Notamacropus eugenii: one gene and its partner. The protein of the gene in region 1 purifies or fractionates together with the protein of each later gene. This does not show direct contact. Links are inferred from orthologs where the notes say so. Each region holds a gene or a part of one and is shown on either strand. Other genes may lie near its edges.

What was found.
Region 2: the proteins of ANAPC15 (region 1) and CDC26 purify together in Homo sapiens (affinity purification with mass spectrometry; 3 studies listed by BioGRID and IntAct, with this or other methods). This does not show direct contact. The link is inferred for Notamacropus eugenii from reciprocal best matches to the Homo sapiens genes ANAPC15 and CDC26.

Annotation. Positions count from the first base shown.
Region 1 is NC_092876.1:96,806,967-96,814,942, reverse strand, and holds the start of ANAPC15 (anaphase-promoting complex subunit 15), read left to right. Parts: upstream 1-4,791; 5' UTR 4,792-4,997; coding exon 4,998-5,136; intron 5,137-5,586; exon of another isoform or gene 5,587-5,721; coding exon of another isoform or gene 5,722-5,824; intron 5,825-7,976. UniProt on the Homo sapiens protein: Component of the anaphase promoting complex/cyclosome (APC/C), a cell cycle-regulated E3 ubiquitin ligase that controls progression through mitosis and the G1 phase of the cell cycle.
Region 2 is NC_092872.1:478,473,396-478,481,421, forward strand, and holds the start of CDC26 (anaphase-promoting complex subunit CDC26), read left to right. Parts: upstream 1-4,858; 5' UTR 4,859-4,967; exon of another isoform or gene 4,968-5,085; intron 5,086-5,546; exon of another isoform or gene 5,547-5,602; intron 5,603-6,479; 5' UTR 6,480-6,519; coding exon 6,520-6,600; intron 6,601-8,026. Other genes in the region: PRPF4 (U4/U6 small nuclear ribonucleoprotein Prp4), read right to left, coding at 965-1,151, 3,060-3,243, 4,625-4,651. UniProt on the Homo sapiens protein: Component of the anaphase promoting complex/cyclosome (APC/C), a cell cycle-regulated E3 ubiquitin ligase that controls progression through mitosis and the G1 phase of the cell cycle.

The sequences.
Region 1 (7,976 bases):
TAACAGAGTTAAAATTGTAGTGATTACATTATTTTCCAGAAAAATGCCACAAAATGCAAGTTATAACCATAACCAATCAGTGGTCAAGTCCAACAACAGGTCTTAACAAGCAAGTGTTGACAGGTGAGCATGTAGCACATTGTCAGGAAGCCCAGCAAGCATCAGTAGGAATATGTGCAAGTAATGAATTGTTTGTAATATGATACTATATGGTTACATGATGCAATATTTCATCATTAAAATTTCAATGCAGGAAAAACCCCACAAATTTACAATAAACTATTAAATTTAAGATGCATCATGTTTTTTTAAAAAATCTTGTATCTTTTTGAAATGACACAAATTTTAAAAACATGAAAGGGTTAAGGAAATTAGATTTCCAGGAGGTGCTGACTAATTTTCTTTTAAAAGAGGTGGTAGGCCAAATAAGTTTGGGAACTTCTGCTAGAGCTTTTCCATTACAAGGTGCTTTCCCATCCGTGACCTCACTTGATCCTCACAGCACCCTTAGAAAAGAAGTCGACCAAAGGTTTTACATTTTACATATGAAAGAACCAGAGTTCAGAAAAGATGGACTGATAAGCTTCTGATCACATAACTATTTGAGTGACCTTAAGACTGGAAACAGTATCTTCTGGTTCCATGTCTAGCACTGTGTCCACCACTGTACCATTTCCTTAGCTTTTCAGAGAAAACAAATGGAATGGCATTCTAAAAGATTTGAATTTTTTTCAAAAAAGGTTGATAAGATGACACACATGACTACACAGCAGTTTATCTGAAGATCTGAGACTGAGTTGACCTACAAAAGTGATCAAATTGTTCATGCCCTTTGACCTTGATACCACTCCTCCCTGGAGATACCCCAATGAGACCAAAGACAAGTATACCAAAATATTTTTTGCTCCACTTTTTATGGTAGCAAACAACTGGAAACAGACTAGATGCCTGTTGATTTGGGAATAGGCAAACAAATGCTGGAATGTGAATATAATAGAATATTATAACATTCTGAGAAACAGTGAATTATAAGGAGTTTGGAGAAACTTGGGAAGATTTGATACAGAACTAAGTAAGTAAAACCAAGAGGGCAACACCAGTGTAAGAAAGAGAAATTCTTTAAGTTAAGGAAAATTCTAAAAGGCATCAGAATTCAGACTGGTTCATCATAACACTGATAATGAAACATTCTTCCCCTCCATGGAGAGGTGGCAGACTACAAGTGCTGAATGAGGCATATGTTGTCAGACATGGTAAATGTCATTTTGTTTTGTTTAAATATATTTCATGTTACAAGAGGAGTTTCCATGGTGGGGGTAACCCGGGGGGGAAGAGTATTGAGCAGTGACAGCCCTGTGTGTAAAAGCATCAGTAAAAAAATAAAATAAAAATAAAAAAATAATAAAAAATTTATATGTATGGGTTTTGGCAGACTGCCAGTCATGTGATAGGTGATCTTAGGTTGCATTTCCTTGAAGCATAGTGTCCAGGATTGCACATAATCACGCCTCCATGTTCTGCTGTGGTGCAACAGCATCAGAACACTAGGTGCAGTTGGGAGTGTCACATTTTAAGAAGGATACTAGAGAATGTTCAAAACAAGGCAGCCAGGATGGTAAAGGGCCTTGATTGACAGCATGAGGGGCTACCATGCAGAAACTGAGGATATTTATGCCAGATAAGTAAAGATTTAGGGGAAGCATGATAGCTGCCTTCAAGTACTTAAGGAAGATGGGATAGACTTACTCTGTTTGACCCCAGAGGGCAGAACTAGAAGTAATAGGTGGAAATCAAAAGGAGGCAAATGTAGGCTTGGGTTTAGGAGAAACATTTTGTTAGATCTCTCCATATCTGGAATGAGCTACCTTAGGAGGTAGTGGATCCCTCTATGGGAGCTGTTTAACAACGGCCCCTTGTAGGAGGAAGAATTATTTTTCAGGTGTAAAGTGAACTAGAGAGCCCAACTCTGAAATTCTTTGATCCTGGGAAGCCCTTTAGTGAGAGAGGGAAGGAGAAAGGATCGGGCTGTGCAAAAGCCAGGAACATCTGAAGCTGGCTTCTACCTAATTAGCAGTCATCCCTGATGGGGAAAGATTAAACTTCAAAGAAAGCCTTGCCCTGGCTAGCTGCCAAGAATATCACTTGTCTTGTTCGTGATTTTCCCCGCAGACCAAGTCAGAAGACAAGATGACTTGTTCATCTAGTCCTGTCTTATAAAAGGAAACCAGTTCTTCAGTCCCCCAAAAACTTTTGGGAATAGAACTGGGCACAGAACTCAATATCCAAGACACATTGTCAATGGAACTTTGCCCTTCCTCCCTCCCCAATGACTTCAGAGACAAAATCCTTCCTGCCCTGACCCAGGCCCTTTGGTCCTAGTCCTAGCAGTAAGGCTATGGTTTCAGGGGTCATCCATCTAATATATGCAGTGCCTGAATAATAACCCCAATTACAGTATCCTCAATAAAGTCATTGCCTTTGAAAAACCTGATTCAGTAATGAGAAACTGCAACCTCCCAAGCCATAGCATTGGCCCTGAGAGGAGGCACATTCCTGGGCCAGGTCCCATCCCTTGGGCTCCTCCAGATAGAGCATATATGTCAGTGCAGAGAGTACTTTGGCTCAAGACTATATGGCCCAGTCATAATACCAATAAAAGCTAATTGAGCTCCTCCCACAGGCAGATGCTAGGAAAGTGTCCCAGAGCTGTATTGTTTCTTGTCTTTTTGTTCTGTGGGAAGTTTTCAGGAAGGGCTTTTGTGAGTGAGGGACACCATAGTCCCTTTCTGCCCAGGGCCTCATATTTCATCCCCCTTCACACTATCTCTTCTATCCCCTCCATTTCCCCTGCCCCTTTCACAGCATTTCTTCCTGTATCTGCTTGAAAGTTAGTTCTGAAAGAGAACCCACTCCCCTGGGCTGAGGTTGAACACCTTTAAAGCAGTTCAGCCACGGTGTCTTTGGTAAAGCAGCTTCCCTACCAGGGCCAGCCCCACTGACTCAAGCCAGGGGTAAGTTTCTGGTCTGATGACACCCAACAGATGCTCTCCCCACCCCATCCCCAATCCACTTCCACCCACCAGTTTTCTTCCAGAGTGTCTATTCACATTCACTCCCTCTTCACTTCCCTCAGCCCCAGGCCAAAGTCTTCAATGATCCAGCTGAGTATGGTTCTTGGATCTTTTTTTGAATTAAGCTGAATCAACTAATACTTTGGGGAGGCCACACTCTCCTTTCAGAACTCCCAATATTATTGTAACTTCATTTAAATCAAGACTTTACCAGAAGCAGATTTAATAAGCTCCACACATTTACAAGTTAAATAAAACAAAAGTATATTGTAATAAGGTTTTGCCACTCAGTGATTTTCTCTTGGCCATGTATTGCACATTCTCTCCTAAATTAATCTTTACTTTTTGACAGCAACAAGGGATCCAGCTCAAGGCCTCTGGCCAGCCTTGGCATCAGCAGCAGCGTCAGGAGCTGCAGATATCCTCTCCAGTGGCTAGCTATATCGAATGGCTTGTCCTTGTAATTCTCTTGGCTCTGGGGTGGTCTCGGGTCACGCTGGCTTAAGCAGAAAACTTCCTTCATCATTTCTTACAGCACAATAATATTACATCACATTTAAACACCCTAACTTGCTCGGGAATTTCCCAATTAATGGGCACTTAAGTTTCCAATTCTTTGCCACTACAAAAAGATCTGCTATAGGTATCTTCGCACATATGGGTCTTCATCTCTGTTAATCTCCTTAATCTCCTTCTCCCTGGGATAACCACTGATTCATCCTGCACATATATCTTGTTTGTAGCTATTTTCCTCTTGTTTACCCTTTTATACTTCGAGTTCCTTAAGAGAATTTTTGTCTTTCTTTGTATCTTAGCACAGAGGCTGGTGCTTAATAAACTCTTATTGACCCGGCACCAAAATCCTTTCCAAACGTAGGGCAAATCTCTCCACCTGATCTTCCCAAACTGAAGACTTTGCTTTCCTCACACGTGCCATCCCATCTCCTGCCTCCCTGCTCTTGCCCAGGCTGACTCCCATGCCTGAAATGCACCTCTCCTTTTTGCTTTTTAGGATCACTGGTTTCCTACAGATTTCCCTCAGCTCAGACCTGGAAATTCAATCCTCTCCCGGTCTTCCTACCTGCACGTTCACTCCACCTCTAGGCCTTTCCTCGGAGCTGGCTCTTTACCACTTCCTTTTCCAGCCAAGTGATCCATAGCTTCATTCATTTCAGTAATTCCCGCCAGACTGTCCACAATTTCTTCACCCAGATCCTCCAGGGCACAGTCTCCTTCTCCCTCCCCCATCCCATCAGCTTCCTTTGACGAGGGGTAGCGCAGGGTTGGAGGTGAAGATCTGCATCCCCAGCATTGGCACAGCCCTGGCACAAAGCGTTTAATGCATGCTGCTTGCTTCTGGACCTGACGGAGTCCTTAGATGCTCCTCTAACAAGCCTGTGTCTTCCCTGGTCTTTATTCTGTAAAGGCTTGAGGGCAGGTGCGGTTTTGTGACGTCCTGGCACCTCTCGGGCCCTGCTAGTTATCTGGTACACAGCAGGCACTTCATAAATGCTTGTTTTAATACACACTGGAACCGGGGTTCCTAACCCCCACGGCCCACCTGACTCCCAGGGTCTTGGATCTAATACCTGTGCCAGGAGGGGGGGAGAGGGTACTTTTTGAACTCTCAGAAGTCACTTCCCCTTCTTGGGGCGCTTTAGGGGCACAGAGGGATGGCACAAGGCCCCTTCCCAAGAGCCAGACGTCAACGAGGCACGGAAGGGCCGCGGTGAACGCCCAGCATGGAGGCGGGGCCTCACAGCCTATGGCTGCACGAGCCCTAAAAGTGGGATGGGAGGGGTGGGATGAGCATAGACAATTGGACCGGGGGAAAGGGGCGGGGCTGGCGCGTTGGCCAACCACTTGTGAGAGACCTCACACAAGAAATCGAAGAGGGGGCGTAGCGCTGAAGTCCTCTGTTCGCGCATGCGCGTCCCTAGGGAAGGCGATTGTGGCGGGGATACGCTTGAGCAAGGAGCGAATCTTTGTCAAGTACTGGTACAACATTCTACTGAGGGAGACGGAAGTACTTCCGGGTCGCCACCGGCTACAACTTCCTGGCGCGGTGAGTAAGAGCAGCGGTTCATGGATTGAACTATGGGATTCCTCAAGAGGAGGCCCATCTTCCCAAACCCATCTTGGGTCCCGAGAGCGATCCTTTCTGCTCCGATCTCGTTCCCTGGGGTTAAGTTGGGTCCACCTATCGGCCACATCCCCATTCTCGAAGCCACGCCCCCTTCCTCAAGGTCTCCGTTCATTGGCCCTGCTCTCCGTTATCTGGAAACAAATACTCCTTTCCAGGCCTGTGGCCCAGTCCCCTTGTCCTAGGCCCCGCCCCATGTTGTTTCTCCTCGCTGGTAGGGCACGCTCCTCTCCAAAGCCCCGCCTTCCCCCTGGCTCTGGGCGTCTCCTCCCTTCCCCTGCCCCGTCGTGTAGGTACGTCCCCAATTCGAGGGCTACTCTTCCTTTACTTCCTCCCATTGGTTAGGTCTCTTTCCTGGGACCCGCTTTTTGCCTTTTCTCCATTGGCTCCCGAATGAGCACGCCCTCCCCCCGTGTTGCCCCGCCTTTCTCTTTAACTCTTACCACTTCTTTAGGATCTTAGTCCCTGGGCAGCGTCGTCCCTGTTGGCCCCACGTCGCCTCCATTAATGTGGCCTGGTTTCCTGTCTGAGCTCCTCAGTGAGAAAAATTGGACTCGATTTAATTTGGGGGAAAGAGCACTGGCCTGGGAGTCCGGAGACCTGAGTCCAGGTGGCGTTGGTGTAGACGGTTTAGCGTGGGAGCTGGGTTCATATCCTGCTACCCAGCTGGGCATCTAGGTGGCTAAGTGGATAAAGTGCCCGGACCAGGGGCGGGAATACTCATCTTCCCGTATTTAAATGTGGCCTCAGACACTTAGTGGCTGCTTGACCCTGGACAAGTCACTTAACCTCTTTTTATGTCAGTTTCCTTATGAGTAAAATGAGCTGAAAATGGTAAAGTATTCCAGTATCATTGCCAAGAAAACCCCAAATCGAGTCAGGAAGAGTCAGTCAGATACGACCAAAACGACTGAGTGTCCCTGGCCCCTTTTGATATTCAGATTTAGACTGTTATAGTGAAAAATTGCATAATTTTCCTGCCAGATTCCTATAATTGTTTATCCGTGTACAAAGGTTTACTAGGAAAGCAAGTCTAAATGTAAGTCTAGTTCTCTGTCCTTGGGGAGGTGGAGAGTGGATGGAACTTTTTCTGTGATAAGATTCCATTTGTTCACTTGTTTCTTCAGTGGGGTTCACCTCTTTGTGACTCCATTTGGGGTTTTCTTGGAAAAGATTCTGGTGTGGTTTGCCATTTCCTTCTCCAGCTCCTTTTACAGATGAGGAAACTGAGGGTTAAGTGACTTGCCCAGGGTCACACAGCTAGTAAGTGCCTGAGGCCAGATTTGAACACGGGAAGATGAGTCTTCCTAATTTCAGTCCCACCATTCTATCTGCTGCACTACCTAGCTGCCCCAGAGGAAGGTATATCATACCAATTATAACAGTTTCATTCAGAAGTTTGACTAATGCAAATCAGGTGCCATAACAAAAGCCCTAAAATCACCTCAGTTAACAAATAGTGAACTGCTTTGCCAAGTAGAGAAATGTAGAAATCAGGGGCAACAACACTGGTTTAGAATATAATCTCATTTTAAGGAAAGATTATGAGCAGCATCATGTTGTAAAACATTCAAAAACAGGACAGCACAGATTGTTTAAATAAAGCTTCCAATATATTTGTGATTGACTTTTCAATATCAAGGACAATGGAATTTGGAGTCTAACCTCACAGTACTAGATGTGAAGAAGTAAAAATGGCACTTAAGAAAACAAGATGGGAAAAGCATCTGGACCAGACCAAGTATGTACAGAGAGGATCAGTGATAGAGATAACAATTTTGAAGGCACTGAATGTTGATCCTTAAGATATCTAAAGGAGAAGATAGCAAAAGTATTAAAAAAATCTCAGGCTTCATGATTACTGAAAAAATAAAGGCATCTGAAAAACCACAATAACTACTGACATATTTATTTTCCCCATATATGATATTTTAAATTTTTATGAAAATAACCTGTTCTTGCATGTAGAGCATCTTTTATATAAAGGTATCAGAAGGGAACAAAATTTTTTCAAGTAATATTCCACAGTAATTTTTTAAAAAATTAATTAATTTTTAATTTTCAGCATTCACTTTTATAACATTTTGAGTTCTAAATTTCCCCTCTCCCTTCTCAAGATGGCATGCAATCTGATATAGGCTATACATACAATCATATTAAATATACTTCCACATTGGTTTTGTGAAAGAAGCATCAGAACAAAAGGGAAAAACTATGAAAAAGAAAAAACAGAAAGAGAAAATAATATGCTTTGATCTGCATTCAGAATCCATAGTTCTTTGAATGTGGATAGCATTTTCCATCCTGAGTCCTTTAGAATTGTCTTACATCACTGCATTGCTGAGATGAGCTAGGTCTATCAAAGTTGGTCATCACACTGTTGCTGGTATTGTGTACAATGTTCTAGTTGTGCTCACTTCATTCAGCAGTACTTCATGTAAATCTTTACAGGTTTTCCTGAAATTTGCCTGCTCATCATTTCTTGTAGCACAATAATATTTTATTACATTCATATACCAAACTTGTTTAGCCATTCCCCAGCTGATGAGCCATCCTCTCAATTTCCAATTCTTTGCCACACTACACAAATTGTTACGATAAGTATTTTTGTACATGTGGGTTTTTTTTCCCATTTTTATGATGTCTTCGGAATACAGACCTAGTAGTAGTATTACTTGATCAAAGGGTATGCACAGTTTTTAGCCCTTTGGGCATAGTTCCAAATTGTTCTCCATAATGGTTGGATCAGTTCACAGCTCCAC
Region 2 (8,026 bases), on another chromosome or scaffold:
CATCATGCGCCAGGCACAGTGCTAAGGGTTTTAAAATTGTTACCTCATTTGATCTAGCAATTCTTCTATAACTCTGAGTCTTAAAAAGTTCTCCAGGATACTGAGAGATACAGTAACTTGTTCATGGTCACACAAGCAAGACATGAATGCAGGTTTTCTTAATCTCCTGGCTGGCCCTCTACCCACTAAACCACACTACCATCAAAAGAGATAAAACAGCAGCCATTAAAGTCAAATCAAAATTGCAATATTCTCTCCTCATCCAAAATCTCATTTTTTTTTTAATTAAAGGTGCTCAATGTATTCCTACTTCAACTATTCTTATTCTCAGCCATCCCTCACTCCTTTGCAAACTCTGAACTCTACTGTGGCATCCTCCCAGAATCTACAAACTCTGTCTCCTTAAGAGGCCTCTCTGAAGCCAGCCAATTTGTCTAGACCTGTTCATCACCCCAAGTACATATACAGCAAAACGGCAGATTTTCCCTCTCCTTTAGCCACTGATGGCATCACTAGCTGATTCTGCTTATGGCAGTAACATGTGGATAGTAAAAGGTACCATTCTTTTCTCAAGTTTTACATGAAAAGGCCTTATAGTTTAAATAGTTGATGAGGAAGAAATTTATCAGATGTCTATTTTTTTCAGATAATTTTTTAAGACTCAAACACAAATATTTAATCAATCCCAAATTCTAACACTGATTTAAAATAATTAGATATTATTCAAGTACTCTTTTCACTGCTTATAATAGAAAATTCAGCATTTTAAAAAGTCTTCTCCAAAATAGCTTAAGAATTATCTTATTAGCTGAAACAAATAAGTAAAATGTAGAGAAGACCTAAGACCAATGGTCAAAGTCTCAGCTTCACTGACTAGTCCAAATCTTGTGACCAGAATATATTACAAAAAGGAGAAAAATTTCAATTATTTTGGGAAGTCAGAAAGCCATCTGGAGATGATCACCTCTCTCTCCTTTCAGCAGGGCCCTCTCCAAAGAGTGTGATTGGTTCACCCAGCGCTCGAAGGCAAGCCTTGACTTCGGAGTCATCTGTGGAAACATTGATTTGCCGGGCTCGCTTCCTTCGCTCAAATTCAGCCAACACTTCTGCTTGTCTTTCACTGATGTGTTCTTCAATTTCAAAGACTTCCCCTATACAAAGAAAAGGCAATAGAGTATAATGATCAGAGCTTATACTCCAAATACAGAGAAGGAAAAAAATCGAAACTGATTATTCATGCCCAATACCCAGCTCAAAATTCAACAGCTCTAAAAGGAGGGTAACTGCTCTATCCATCTCTAATTCCTACTCGACACAATCCCAATCCCAACTAAACAAAAGTGCAAAATACAAAGTTTTGATGAAACCTGGAGAGGACAGACTTCAAGAGCCCAGAATCTTTGATACATTTAGCAAATTAATTATTTAGGCATTTTGTTTAAAAAGAAAAAGAGAGGCACAAGTTGCATACTTGTATTCATCAAATGCTGATATACGGGCACTAAAACATGACTGATAAACTCCCATGAGAATGCAATTCACAGTTCTACAGGAATTGACAGTAGAATTGTGACAGGTACAATCTCTCTTAGGGTTCCAGACAGAGTGTTCATTTATATCACAAGTAACAAATTAAACTTGCTATCAATTCAATATCTCCTTGGACTCATTTAAATAAGCTAGGACAAGATATCATGGAAACTCTTTGGCAGTCTGGGGAAACCTATGGACCCCTTATCAGAAGGTTTTTAAATACACAAAATGAAATATACAACAGAAATCAACTACAACAAACTACAGTGATCTAGACACAGACTGGGGCAGCTAGGTGGCTAAGCAGATAGATGCTGGGCCTAGAGTCAGGAAGACCTGAGTTCAAACCCAGCCCCAGATACTTATTAGCTGTGTGACCTTGGGCAAGTCACTTAACCCTGTTTGTCTCAGTTACCTGAATTGTAAAATGAGTTGGGGAAGGAAGTGTCTTTGCCCAAAAAAACCCCAAATGGGGTCATGAAGACTCAGATACAACTGAAATGACTGAACAACAAAATAAAGGATTGTCCCAAAACTCTTAGTGCATTTTAAAAGTTTTAACTTTTAAAAAAGCAAAAAACAAGTTTACAGACAGGATCAGGTTAAAAAAAAACTGTTTTTAAAACTAGAATCAATACTAGGGAGTCTTGGCTAAGCTGCAGTGGCTTAGCTGTTCAGATGTAGTATAGGGAAACGATCAAATAAAAACTTTGGAAAAGAAAAAAAGCAAAAGAAATAAACATGACCACAATGGCTCAAAACAGTAATATCAGGACCATGTTAAACTTGTTCTTTGAAGAAGCAGAATATGATTCTATGAACTTACTCTGAGTGACTTTCTAGTACAAATACTCATAATTCATAGGAACAGTCCTACCAAAAAGATGTGGGGAAGAAAAAGGTGTCTGAGAAGACACAAGATGAGAAGAATGACTACTTTTAAGTGCATACTACATTAGGCACTATGGTAAATACAAGGCCAAAACAATCTGTTCAGCAAGTTTGTTTTTAACTTCTTTGTATATATTTGTATTTATTCACTTTAAATTTATGAAATATATAAATACATGTATACGTATATGTGTATATATACAAACATACAGCCATTAAGGCTTGTATTTGTTGCCTAACTGTAGGGAATGCTACATTCTTTGCACTCACATGTTTAGTGTGTGGCACAGTACCTGACACATTGTAAGGATTGGTTTAGTACCTTCAAGGAATTTAAAATCTAGTAGAATTTACAACCATATGACAGACTAATGTAATACAAATTAGACTATTAATCCCCAAGAATGTAAAGGCCCATGGATATGAGGCAGGCAAAGTAAAACTTAGTCTCAGAGATACCATTTATAAATCACGCTTCCATAAAGAGAAGTTCAAGGAGAGACTATAGTTGATAATGCAAAACTTATTTTAATCAAGGCCCAAAGTAAAAGGAGAAAATATTCAAACCTAGAAAACCCGTACTTAAGACCAGGCAGAACAGGCAACACAAAAGATTAGTCCAAAACTAGTCTTACCAGAAGTTATATTAATATTTCCAGCCTCAATTCCAGCTTTAATTCCTTCTTTCCCCAACATCCCTGACTCCCCTCTTGCAATACGTTCCTTCTCCTTCTCTTCCAAACTGCCATAATAGATATGAGGCTTCTTCACCACAGGGGAGGCAGTGTCTTCAGGAGTCCTACTGGGGGTTTTGGTTGCCTATAAAATCAAAAAGTAGAGTTAACCTAGAGTTGGAGCAACCTTCGGAACTGCCTGAAGTGTTAATTCTGAAACCAAATGCTATTCCTGGATCTGCAGAAATAAGCACAGCACCAGTTGGAACTTTCCCCACTCAGATAAGGTAGTAATTGTTTTAGTGCATCCCTCACATGAGAGCATGTTCGGGACAAGAAACGTGTGGGATGAAACTAATGAACTCCATCTTTTTCTGAGTGATTTCCCAATCAATAGGTTACTTTGATACTGCTTATTAAGATGTAAGACCTCTGGGGACAGGTGCAATCTATCTTGGAGAAATGAGTGTTCATTTACGTTATCAATAGCATACTGAGCTTGCTATCCATTCAATGTCCTTTTAGAGTCATTTAGATAATAAAGGACCTGAAATAAATTTAAGCAGTGAATTTAAAGGGAAACATAATGAGAAAATTTACCTCTGGTTAAACCAAAGAAAATTCTAAATTGGGGTCTATGTTTTTTCAACTCTGAAGTACACTACAATCTCTATAGAACTTTCTAGATTTCAATGCATTTATACATGCATAATCTTATTTCATCTTCCCAAAAATCCTACGAAGGGAAAAGATCAGGGATTATCACCTTTTTAAATACAATTTTGGAGTTTTAGAGTCTACATCATCTAGTCCATCCCTTTTGCAGATACAGGAAATCTCCTCTGTAACATCCCTGACCAGCAGTCATTCAAATTGTGCTCAAACACTTCCAAGTGAAGGTGAAGTCACCATCTGTCACAGAAGCCTTTTCCACAACTTTGTTAAGTCCCTCCCCAATCCTGAACTAACAACTGCTTCCTTGTAACTCTCCTTTTGGAGATGACAAACTAGGGTTCAGCGATCTGTCTGGGATCTGGACAAAGCTAGGACTAAAACCCAATGACAGAACACGATGCTGAAAAAGTCTAAGTTAGCATCTCATCTAGATTTCTCTCTTTACAGAAGGAAACTGGGGCCAGGAATTAACAGGCTTAACCAAATTCGTGTAGAGCTGGGAAGTCCGATCTCCCACCTTGAGTCCAGGGCAACTTTTTATTACCACACTGTCTCTTTTAGAACTCCAACTCCCCCCCTCCCCCCCCCCCCCCCCCCCCCCGCCGCCGCGTTGACTTCAAACCCCAGCTGTGGCCCCAGTTCCGTCGGGGTGGGAGGGGAGGCCAGTTCCCTTCGGAGGGGCGGCAGAGTCAGGAGTCAGGAACTCGGCGAGTCCATCCCCCTGCCTCTGCACCAACCCACCCATCATCTCCCTGAGCGCGGGTTCAGTGGAAGGGCAGAAGCCAATTCCGGCTCCCCTACACGTGGGGAGAACTCCCAAGGATCCCTAAACACCAAGGCCAGAGCCGCACCGTAGCCGAAGCTCGAGAAGAAGCCATGTTGTGGTAAGAATTTCAATCGCAGACCACCACGGCCGCTGACCCCCACCGCCGGAGGACTCACTCCACGCTCAGGGGACCGGAAATTTCGAAACGTGTCGGAAATAGAACATAACCGGAACTAAACGGAGTCCGGAAGCCCGGGGAGGCGCGGAGCAGGCCGGGGATTGTAGTCTTCGTCTAGGGGCTTCTGTTGCAACCTGAGGGAATGAAGCGCGGAGCACTCTGGGAGAGGTAGTCAGCAGCGACGGATAAGGAAGGGGCCACGCGGCATGTCGGGAGATGCAGTCCTTGCGGTCAAGCCTACAGAAGATTGGTAGGTGGCTGGAAAGGCGGAGTGGAACAGGCTGGAGGCGGTAGGGGTCCGAGAAGTCGGTTTCGCCCCGGGACTGGGCTAAACCAAGCTGAGCTGAGCCGCGCCGCGCTGGGGGGAGGTGGGTGTTGGGCCATGAGGGCTGCTTCGAGCTGAGGACCTAGTTCCTGGGGCGAGGCGGGCGGAAAGGGAAGGGGACGTGAGCCGGGAGGAAGGAGCTGGCCGCCGGCGGGCAGGCTTCGGCTTCCCTGCTGCTCGGTCCGCTGGCCTGCCTCTCTGTAGTCATGGAAACGACGGCTCCAGCCTCAACCACAACCTCCCTCTCCCTTCACAGTCTGATTCCACTGACCTTAGAGGGGAAATGGGTCAACTCTCGTTTTACAGATGGCGAAACTAAGGGCCACGGAGTAGACCAGGTTCAAGGCAGGGTGGCATCCTCCATCCCCTCCCCTTCCCCACCCCACGTTAAGGAGGTAGGGGAAATACCTAGATATAGATGATGGGGAATAAGAACCACTCAGAAATTGCCTACTGTATTTATATTCGGTTGATGCGCTGAACCTAGTGCTCCGTCCATCTCAGATCCCCTGCCGTTCATCTTGGTTCCAGGATTGAAGTGGGTCTGGAGAGTGTGGTGGGTATGCCCAGAATCCTAAAATACGGTGGGAAAGCATATGCTGGCATGCATACTCATTGAGGGACTCCGGTCCATTGTTCTTCATTACCGAAGAGAGGGATGTTAAATCAATGCTAATAGTTGGGGAGGTTAACACTGCTAAATAGGAATCTGTTACAGGGGAGGGGAAAAGGATATTCAGAAATAACAACATGAAAAACACCAGTAAAACTTTTTAAGTCTATGAAAAGCCAAAAAAAAAAAGGTTTATTAAAATTCAGATCATTAAATGGTGCTAAAAAAAATGACCCTAGCATTATTGATTTCCTCTGTAATCATTTTAATGGTTACAAAGCGTAATCCTCTGTAAACATTTTAGCATAAATCTGCGCAATTGTTTATTTCTGTTTTTTGTTCCTTGAAAAAGTTTGCATCAAGTCATTATATAGTTATGAATCAAAGAGACTTTTCCTTAGAATTAGGAAGTCAACCACTGTGTGATTCATTTGAAAATGAAATCTTAACTTGACTTTTGCCAGTGGTCACAAATCCCTAAAAACCCAGGCAAAGGGTATTAAAGTGATTGTCACTATCCATTTTGTAAATGGTAATTCATTTTGAATTAAGGAAAGTTATTTTTAACTGTCTGTATAAACTTGTACATTTCTCTGAATGTGGCTGAAGTACTACTGGATTAAAGTGGATTGTACATCTTTTGGTTTCTATGTGTTTCACAGGCAGCTATTTTTGAATGGCTGTGAAATCAGAGTCATTGAGGCTTCCTGACAGCTCAGGAGGTTGTGTGTACGTTTAGGGTATCGTTGTTTGCTTGCAGAAAATCCATCCCCACCAGAGTATGCTTCTTGTAGAGCCTCTTCCTTCTCCCTAAATTTTGACAGTTTGGTGGATTTGGCTTGGACGTGTTGAACTGTTACCAGGATGCTCCGACGAAAACCCACTCGCCTGGAGTTGAAGCTAGATGACATTGAGGAATTCGAGAGTATCCGGAAGGATCTGGAGGTGAGTGTGGTCACGTCTGTTATTTTATGGAGTGGGTATTTTAGGATGTGTTATCTTAGTCTAAAGTATTCTGTCTAGAAACCTATTTCATTTGGGAGAGGAACGTTGAAGATTGAGTTTTTAGTGTAGATGTGTACACATCATTACTTAGAAGAACCTTGATTTGAAGGTCACTTCATATCAAAATAAGCATTTTCATATGGAACTATGCATGTTTAAATTTCAATTAAACTCAGTCTTTTTATATTAGGGAGCAAGCAAGGCAAGCCATACATTGTGAACTTTTAACCACTTCATCTTGCATATGATAGTGAATATGAATGGGTTTTTTAAAAATGTATTTTAAAAGTTAAATGGGCTGCTAGATATTGCAGGGAATAGAGGGCAGGGCTTGGAATCAGAAAGACTTGAGTGCAAATGCAGCCTCAGATACTCGCTTGACTCTGGGCAAGTTATTTAACCCTTTTACTCAGTTTCTTCATCTGTAAAATGAGCTGGAGAAGGAAAATGCAAACCACTCCAGTATCCCCAAGAGATCATAAAAATGGGAAAGGGTCCCACATGTACAAAAATATTTATAGCAGCCCTCTTTGTGGTGGCCAAAAACTGGAAATCAAGGGGAGGCCCGTCAATTGGGGAATGGCTGAATAAATTGTGGCATATGAATGTAATGGAATACTATTGCGCTATAAGAAATGATGAACAGGAAGACTTCAGAGAGGCCTGGAAAGACTTATATGATCTGATGCTGAGTGAAAGGAGCAGAACCAGGAGAACTCTGTACACAGCAACAACCACAGTCTATGAGGATTTTTTCTGGTAGACTTAGTACTTCATTGCAATGCAAGGATTTAAAAAATTCCCAGTGGTCTCTTAAGGCAAAATGCCTTCCACATCCAGAGAAAGAACTATGGAATTCGATTGCAGAATGTAGCAGATCATTTTCTTTTGTATTACGTTTTGGTTTGTTTTATGATTCCTCCCATTCATTTTAATTCTTCTATGCAACATGAGTAAGGTGAAAATGTATTTAATAGGAATGTATGTGTAGAACCTATATAAAACTGTATGCCATCTCAGGGAGGGAGAGGGGTGGTAGAGGGTAAGGGAGGAGGGAGGGGAAAAAATCTAAGATACATTGGAAGTGATTGTAGAACACTGAAAACAAATAAAATAATAATAAAAAATAAAAATATATTTGTTTATTTTTTAAACAGGCAGCCCCCTCTGGAGCTGAAAAATTGTAGGTCTTGGATTTTAAAAGGCTGGGGATTCTGGTCAGATAAAGACCTTGATTTATTTCAAATCAGTAAAGCCTGCCTGATTTATACATAGGTTCAGTTTGGATTACATTTGAGAGTATTTGAACTTTGCCCTTGATGATCTAATTTGCATTTGAACCAAGTTCCTTTCAGCTGTGCTCAAT